Linked DNA regions of Macaca fascicularis. The protein of the gene in region 2 purifies or fractionates together with the protein of the main gene of each other region. This does not show direct contact. Links are inferred from orthologs where the notes say so. Each region holds a gene or a part of one and is shown on either strand. Other genes may lie near its edges.

Region 1 (4,679 bases), on a different chromosome or scaffold from region 2:
GGCTCTGCCCTGTGCACCCTGCTTATTCAGGCATCCTCTGCTGTGTGGACATTTACATGGTTTCCAGTGTCTCACTGTCGTTAGGAGGCTCACTGAGGAGGAGAATTTCTGGGGAGTGGGTAAGGTCTGTGTTCTGCATTTAACTGACCCTGGCCAGTTGCCCTCCAGAACGCTGCTGCCAGCTCCCTCCCTCCAGCGGGACGTGAGGTTATGTTCTGTAGATCACCCCCTGCTCTTGATGTTATCAAACATTAAAACTTCGCAACCTAGTAGGTGAAAGTTAGTTTTTCATTGTTCAGTTGTGTTTTTCTGATTTTTGGGAGACTGGACATTTTCCGTGTTTGCTGACCGTTTGCATCTCCTCTCCTGCTCTGTGCTCCATCACCCTGCTCCAGCTGCTTCCCGGAGCCTCCTTCTTTACTCTCCACCTGCCCGCGTCCTCCTCGTCTTTCAGTTTCTTCCTAAGGGCCCATGGGCTTTCTTTGGTTTTTACGTTCCTCTCACTCTGCCTTTGGCTGTTTCTGGGCCTCCCATCTCCTGGGAGGTTTCAGAGGATGGGGAAGACACAGGAGTGTAGTCGCCATGCAGTGCAATATGGGCTGTAGTGTTCATCCTCCATGGCCTTTATTGAGGACTTACTGTGTGCCAAGAACCTGCTCTAAGAACGTAACTGTGCTCCCTCACTTCATGCTCATAACCACTTGTGAGACGGGCAATGTTCTCATCCTTTTTTTTTTTTTTTTTTTTTTTTTTGGAGATGGAGTCTCTGTTGCCCAGGCTGGAGTGCAATGGCATGATCTCGGCTCATTGCAACCTCCGCCTTGCAGGTTCAAGCCATTCTCCTGCCTCAGCCTCCCAAATAGCTGGGACTACAGGCACAGACTGGGACTACAGGCCACCACACCTGGCTAATTTTTTTGTTTTTTGTTTTTTGTTTTTTAGTAGAGATGGAATTTCATCATGTTGCCCAGGGTGGTCTCGAATTCCTGAACTCAGACAATCCACTCACCTTGGCCTCCCAAAGTGCTAGGATTACAGGCGTGAGCCATCAGGCCCGACCTCATCCTTGTTTTACACAGAGAACATGGAGGCACAGAGGAGTTCCATAAATTGCCACCAAGGCCTTCCACTGGTGTGCAGCAGAGTCAAGATTCAAACCCAGGCTGTCTGGCCCTGGGGTCCAGCCTCTCCAGTGCTCTGCTAGGTGCTGGACAGGGTCAACGAGACACAGAGAATGAGCACCACCTGACAGACTGGGACAGTCAGGGACGGCTTCCTGGAGGAGGTGACACCTCAATGGAGCCTTGAGGGAAGAGCAGGAGGGGCTGACCAGGCAATGAATAGAATAAGTATAACCAGGAAGAGGGAAAAGCCTGAGTGTTGCTGGGAGGCTGGAGAGCTGGCCTGGCTTGGGGTGTGTGCCAGGGGGGCAGGACCAAGGGATGGCCAGGGCCAGATCTAGAAAAGCCTGGGCCATCCCATAGTCAATACCTCATCGCAAGGCCCGGCAGGCCTTCCACTGCTCTGTGTGTACCCCATGGGACGCCAGGAGCCTGGGCTGCAGCCACCCACCTGGGCTCCTTAGACCCAGTGCACAGGCATGGGGGCGGGAGTGGGTGTGGCTGATTTACATCCAACAGGTTGAGGGGAAAACCCAGGAAGTGCAGCCCAGGCACTAATCAAATCTAAGACTAATAATAAGCATCCTGAGTAATGAGTGGCCTGGGCCGGAGCAGGCGAGGTGGCCGGAGCCGTGTGGACCAGGAGGAGCGGTGTGAGTAGCCGGGCAGGAGGGCAGGAGGGCAGGAGGGCAGGAGGGCAGGTGTGAGGTGTGAGGAGGGTTGGGCCTCAGTGCTGTGGGGGTTGGCAGTGTCTGGTGGGTGCAAGGCCCACAGCAGATCCACACACTGGGGCAGTCCCAGCCTCCCAAGCCCCGGCACATGGAGAGCCCTGGATCTGGATGCCTCTGGGGTGTGGGGCTTGCCTTCCGGGAGAGAAGCCATCGAGGCTGCAGGGTTGGCCACACCAGCAGGAATTCCCTTTGTCACCACGGCCCTCTGGACACCCCCTATTTTCCCCCTTACATGCCCGCTGGACCATTTTAATGCTAATCTCAAACACCAGATTGTTTGATTTGTAGAGACCACAGGATCTATTCCTTAAGAACACAAACTCTAAAACCAAAACAAAAAACGAAGCATCATACCATCACCCCTGCTGAAACAACAATTCCTGAACATCATCACATAGCCCGCCAGGGTTCAAACTGCCCCGACTATCTCATCTATGTCTTTCTCAGTTGATTTGTTCAAATCAGCCTGGCCCACATTAGACTTTTGGCTATGTTTTAATCTATAACAGTTTCCGCCCATTTTTTCCTCGGTTATTTATTTGTTGACAAAATTGGACTATTTATCCTATAGTTTTTTTTTTGTTTTTTTTGAGACAGAGTCTTGCTCTGTCACCCAGGCTGGAGTCAATGGCCTGATCTTGGCTTGCTACAACCTCCGCCTCCAGGGTTCAAGCTATTCTCCTGCCTCAGCCTCCCAAGTGACTGAGATTATAGGTGCTCACCACCACGCCCGGTTAATTTTTTGTATTTTTAGTAGAGATAGGCTTTCGCCATGTTGGCCAGTCTGGTCTCAAACTCCTGACCTCAGGTAATCTACCTGCCTCAGCCTCCCAAAGTGCTGGGATTACAGGCGTGAGCCACGGTGCCCGGCCCTTATAGCATTTTTATCAGAGTGAGTTTCTAAGGTTTTATGAAAGGGCCCCAGGTCCGTCACTGTGCAGACAGAACCCATGGCCAGATGGACCGGGGCACAGCCTAGATTCACAGCCTCTCCCTGCTGCTCTGTCCTACACCCCAGGCAGGGAGCAAATCTGTTCTCCCATCCTCTTTTGTGTCCAGCCACCATGTCCCCAGAATCTACCAAGTCAGGGGCTCAAATACATAAAGTTTCTGAGAGACTTGGACAAGGCAGTGACCAGAGGCTGCCTTGACACAGGATGAAATTGCCCAGGCCTCTGGCACCACGAGTCAGGACGCAGCTAGAACTGTGACCTGGCAGTGGCAGCAGCTGTCTGGTGCTGCCGAATCAGCCCTGAGCCACTCTGGGACCTTGGCTGAGCCGCTTCCCCTCAGTGTAAAATGAAGTAGACTGTCTTTCCTACCAGACATCCCTCAAAAACACAACAGTGCTTTGATGAAACTACCAGACCCCCTCTTGGGGAGTCACAAGGAAAGGCTCTGAGAAGACCTGCAGTTAAAAGAAATGCCTTGACTTTCTTTAACCCAGTGTTTTTCAAACTAATTTGATCACAGAGATCTTTCTTGGTATAGCACCTGTTAACCAGCCAAGCACGTGAGGAGGGACAAGCAGAGGGCTCTGATAATCACCCTCCTTGGCTGCTGTCTGGTCTCGGGATGCAGGAGAGAGTTTCCATCTTGCATCCAAATTTGTGGCGGCCCAGAGTGTGAGCCCAGCCCACAGAGCTAGTGTCAGATAGGAGTTCCCTTTCTTCCCTTTCCGTCAATGGAGCTTCTCTCTCAAGCTTCTATTCTGCCTGGCTGGTGTCAGTCATGGGGTTTTCCCACCCTCCTTTGGCACTTGATGATGGTTCTGGGATTTTATGTAGGTCCATATGGTGGTAGAGGAGGGGGCAGGGACAGGCCCACTGGTCAGCTTGGCATCTGCCATCTGGTCAGTCAGGCTCCATCTCTCCTTCAGGTCCAGTGGCTTTGGTGGCTTCCAGGCAATGAATGGGTCTTGGAACCTCTCCAAAGCTGCCCTTGTCACATAGAACCTCCTGCCCACCTTCCACTCAACCAACCCTTCACGGTGATATGCGGTGGGTGGCGGCTTTCTCCCTCTTTGCTCTTCCACCCAAATATGGGGAGAATCAGGGGTCTGTCTTTAATTTTGTTTGATCTTTTGATTTTAGATTTGCTTTTGAATAGATAGTATAGTCAGATGGTTTGAAACCCAGAAAGTATTGAAAGATATATAATAGAAAGTCTTTTTTTCTCCTTGTCCTCCATCTGCCAAGTTCCCACCTCCCCTAGAATAAGTAGCTTTATTTACATATAACTTACATGCCGTGAAATTCACCTGTGTAAAGTGTACAAGTCTGTGTTTTTGGTATATTTACAGAGTTGTGCAACCATCCCCGTAAGCTAATTTTAGAACATTTCGATGACCCCAAAAAGAAACTTTGTCAGTCTTCATTCCTCCCTAGCCCCAGGCTAATCTACTCTCTGTCTCTATAGATTTGCCTATTTTGGACATTTTCCATAAATGGAATCATATGTGGTGTATTGTGACTAGCTGTTTCCACTTGGCATAATGTTTTCAAGGGCCGTCCAAGTTGTAGCAGGTATCAGTACTTCCTTCAGTTTTGTGGCTAAATCACATTCCATTTTATGGATATATCATGTGGCTTATCCAGTCATCGGTGGATGGACATTTGGGATGTTTCTACTTTTTGTCACTGTGATTATTAACAATGCTTCTATGAACTTTTGGGTTTAAGTTTTAAGTGAACATGTCTTCTTTTCTCTTAGACGGATACCTACAAGTGGAATTGCTGGGTCATATGATACATTCTATGTTTAACATTTAAAGGAACTGCCAAATGCTTTCCAAAGTGGCTGCACTATTTTATAATTCACTTCAGGC
Region 2 (4,222 bases):
TCTGTCACCCAGTCTGAGTGCAGTGGCACGATCTTGGTTCACAGCAACATCCACCTCTCAGGTTCAAGTGATGCTGGTGCCTCAGCCTTCCAAGTAGATGGGGTTACAAGCGCCCGCCACCATGCCTGGCTAATTTTTGTATTTTTAGTAGAGACAGGGTTTCACCATGTTGGCCAGGATGGTCTACAACTCCTGACCTCATGTGATCAACCCACCTCGGACTCCCAACATGCTGGGATTACAGGTGTGAGTCACTTCGCCTGGCAATTACTTTTTTTTTTTTAAGACGGAGTCTCATTCTGTCGCCCAGGCTGGAGTGCAGTGACGCAATCTCGGCTCACTGTGACCTCTGCCTCCTGGGTCCAAGCAATTCTCCTGCCTCAGTCTCCCATAAAATAGTAATTTTAATGGTTAAAAGTAATCTTGTTTCCTCAGAAGGGTGAAGAAAATAAAAGATTTGATTTCCTAACATAAAATATGTTTCTCAGGTCATACAATTCTTTCACATTCTTTTAGTGTCCCCAAAACTGTCTTCTCTCATAAAAACTCATCTTTTAAATTATTTAAAGTATTAAATAGTGACAGATGTTTAACACATCATGCAGTAACATCTCCGTCACCCAGAGGGAATTAATTGACATCCAGGAAGCACACAGACAAGGCCCAGCACTCAAAATAGATGGCATTCTTCCAGCTATGCAGAAGGCTGAGGCAGGAGGACTGCTTGAGCCCAGAAGTTCTAGTCCAGCCTGGGCACCACAGCAAGATCCTATCTCTAAAACGTTTTAAACAACAACAAAACTAAATGCTTGGCTGGGCATGGTGGCTCATGCCTGTAATCCTAGCACTTTGGGAAGCAGAGATGGGCGGATCACGAGGTCAAGAGATCGAGATGACCATCCTGGCTGACAAGGTGAAACCCTATCTCTGCTAAAAAATTAGCTGGGCATGGTGGGATTACAGGCATGAGCCACTGTGCCCAGCCCCTCATAACTACTTTTAAAATGAAACCATTAAGAAGTGAGTGAAGGAGCAAACGTTACTAGATGGCAGTATGGTGACAGCAGTAAGAAACAGTTGAAACTCTGATAGCAACAAAACCCAGAAAACCAAAACAAAAAAATTCACACAAAAATAGGCATAACATTAAAAGCATGAAAGCACAGAGCCCTTCAGATAGAGACAAAAAAGAGGCAGCTCATTAAATGCTGAAAGCATCACCGATCTTTGCATTATAGCAAACTATGTTGACAAGTTATTATCAAGGAAAAACAAATAAAATCTGTTCAACAGGTTCTATTTATGAAAACATCTGCATAAAAATAGATTTTAGGCCAGGCACGGTGGCTCACGCCTGTAATCCCAGCACTTTGGGAGGCAGTGGTGGGCAGATCACGAGGTCACGACATCGAGACCATCCTGGCTAACACGATGAAACCCCGTCTCTACTAAAAATACAAAAAATTAGCCGTGCATGGTGGCACGTGCCTGTAGTCCCAGCTACTCAGGAGGCTAAGGCAGGAGAATCACTTGAACCCAGGAGGTGGACATTGCAGTGAGCCGAGATTGCACCACTGCACTCCAGCCTAGGCGACAGAAACTCCATCTCAAAAAAAAAAAAAAAAAAAAAAAAAAGATTAAAAAAAACTGTTTTGCTTAATGATATAAACTTTAATTATCTGGATAATTTATTTATGTGCCTGGTACATATACCTAAAATGTCTACTGAATGGAAAAACCTCAGTGCAAGACACTGAACTATGAGCTATGCTTTTCTGTATTCTTCAATATACTGTAAAACAAAATAACCACATCATGGTACAACCAAAATGGACTCATTATGACACTACATTAAGAAATGCTGGCCGGGCGCGGTGGCTCAAGCCTGTAATCCCAGCACTTTGGGAGGCCGAGACGGGTGGATCATGAGGTCAGGAGATCGAGACCATCCTGGCTAACACGGTGAAACCCCGTCTCTACTAAAAAAAAATACAAAAAACTAGCCGGGCGAGGTGGCGGGCGCCTGTAGTCCCAGCTACTCGGGAGGCTGAGGCAGGAGAATGGCATAAACCCGGGAGGCGGAGCTTGCAGTGAGCTGAGATCCGGCCACTGCACTCCAGCCTGGGCGACAGAGCGAGACTCCGTCTCAAAAAAAAAAAAGAAATGCTGAAATGTCTTCTGAACCATAGGAAATTTACCTCATATTCAGGACCACAGGAACTGCATTTTACTATTTCAAATTATTTGAAAATTGATAATATACAGTATATATATATATGTAAAGCACTTAACCCTTTGGTTAAAGAATGAAACTGCTAAGGTTTAATCCCAGCATCACTTAGTAGCTGTGTGACCTTCGGCAAATGATTTAACCTCTCTGAGTCTTCATTTCCCAATGGATTCAAATAATACCAAGTTCATAAGAATGAGGATTAGATGAATTAATATACGCAAAGCAATGAGAAGGGTCCGTAGCATGAAAAAAGGGTTTCAGTAGAGTCATCCCTCAGTATCTGCAGAGGACTGGTACCAGGTTCCTCCTGATAGATGCTCAAGTCCCTTATGTAAAATGGCATAGTATTTGCATATAACCTACTCAATTCCTCCCATATACTTGAAATCATTTCTAGATTTTTTTATGCCTAATACAATGTAAATAGTTGTTATACTGTTTTTATTTGTATTATTTATTTATTTATTTATTTTTTTTTTTTTTTGAGACGGAGTCTCGCTCTGTGGCCCAGGCTGGAGTGCAGTGGCCAGATCTCAGATCACTGCAAGCTCCGCCTCCCAGGTTCACGCGGTTCTCCTGCCTCAGCCTCCCGAGTAGCTGGGACTACAGGCGCCCGCCACCTCGCCCGGCTAGTTTTTTGTATTTTTTAGTAGAGATGGGGTTTCACCAGGTTAGCCAGGATGGTCTCGATCTCCTGACCTTGTGATCCGCCCGTCTCGGCCTCCCAAAGTGCTGGGATTACAGGCTTGAGCCACCGCGCCCAGCCTTTATTTGTATTATTTATTATTTGTTATTATTGTATTATTTTTTCCCCAAATATATACACATACATATTATTTTTGAGACAGGGAGGGTCTCACTCTGTCACCCAGGCTGGAGTGCAGTGGCATTATCCTGGCTCACTGCAACCTCTGCCTGCCGGGTTCAAGCAATTCTCCTGCCTCAGCCTCCCAAGTAACTGGGATTACAGGCGTGCACCACCACGCCCGGCTAAATCCAAATACTTTCAATCCACAGTTGGTTGAATCCACATAGGGTGCAGAACCAACTGATATGGAGGACCAACAATAATTATTAGGCTCTGTATTTAACCAGAACACTTCATTCTATAAGATGAATAGCAAAGTTAATAATGTATCTTCAAACAGCCACATGGATCCGGTAGATATTAATTTTGGCAATGACTTCTATGGGTCAAAAGCACTCATAATTATTAACATTTTGCATTTTCCATTAAGTTAGTTAATAATTTACAGATCTTTTCTTACCAAGTATTTGCAAACAAAAGCTCTGACTCCAAGAGCAAGAAGAGCACATCCCACCAATCTAAATATTCGAAAAGAGTCAAATTCTTCTGTTGTACTTCCATCCTCTTGACTGGGTTTTTCACTAATCAGCTGTTTCCTTAGCTTCATTGCTTCTTCGAATCTGGAAAGGTACTGCTCTAGGCCATGGCGGGCACCCCTCTGGACTGAGTCCGCTGTCAAGTCCCCTCTGTTCCGCTGCCGGAGCTCAAGGTTGACATCATTACTGCACTCAGGTGGTTTAATGAAAGAGTCCAATTTGTCTCCCAGTTGGGTCCCCTTTACCTCGGCCACACCACCCTGCTGGTCAGTTGTTCCTGTACTGACTGAATCACCCAGCACTACTCGTTTTGAAACTGAAGGAACGCTGAGGGAGTTCAGTTTATCACTGTCCTGCTGCTTTGATTTTGTTTGACTTTCTTCTTCTGAGAAAAGAAATTTAAAAGCCTTATGTATTTATTACATACTGGCAAACACCTTACATGTTTATGTTTTAAAATATGCTGTTGCAGCTAGAACTCAGCAGTCTCTGAATCAAAATAAATAAATATTGATTCTGCATTAAAGAAAAGCTGGTTTCGGCCAGGCACAGTGGCTCACGCCTGTAATCCCAACACTTTGGGAGGCTGAGGTGGGCGCATCATGAGGTCAAGAGATTGAGACTATCCTAGCCAACATGGTGAAA

Evidence for each region. Proteins that work in one complex are often made in the same cells at the same time.
Region 1: the proteins of CAMLG (region 2) and TNFRSF13B purify together in Homo sapiens (affinity purification with western blotting; 3 studies listed by BioGRID and IntAct, with this or other methods). This does not show direct contact. The link is inferred for Macaca fascicularis from reciprocal best matches to the Homo sapiens genes CAMLG and TNFRSF13B.

The regions. Positions count from the first base shown.
Region 1 is NC_088390.1:17,064,816-17,069,494, reverse strand, and holds the start of TNFRSF13B (tumor necrosis factor receptor superfamily member 13B), read left to right. Parts: upstream 1-1,708; 5' UTR 1,709-1,713; coding exon 1,714-1,774; intron 1,775-4,679. UniProt on the Homo sapiens protein: Receptor for TNFSF13/APRIL and TNFSF13B/TALL1/BAFF/BLYS that binds both ligands with similar high affinity. Mediates calcineurin-dependent activation of NF-AT, as well as activation of NF-kappa-B and AP-1.
Region 2 is NC_088380.1:141,281,763-141,285,984, reverse strand, and holds part of CAMLG (guided entry of tail-anchored proteins factor CAMLG), read right to left. Parts: intron 3,963-4,222; coding exon 3,502-3,962; intron 1-3,501. UniProt on the Homo sapiens protein: Required for the post-translational delivery of tail-anchored (TA) proteins to the endoplasmic reticulum.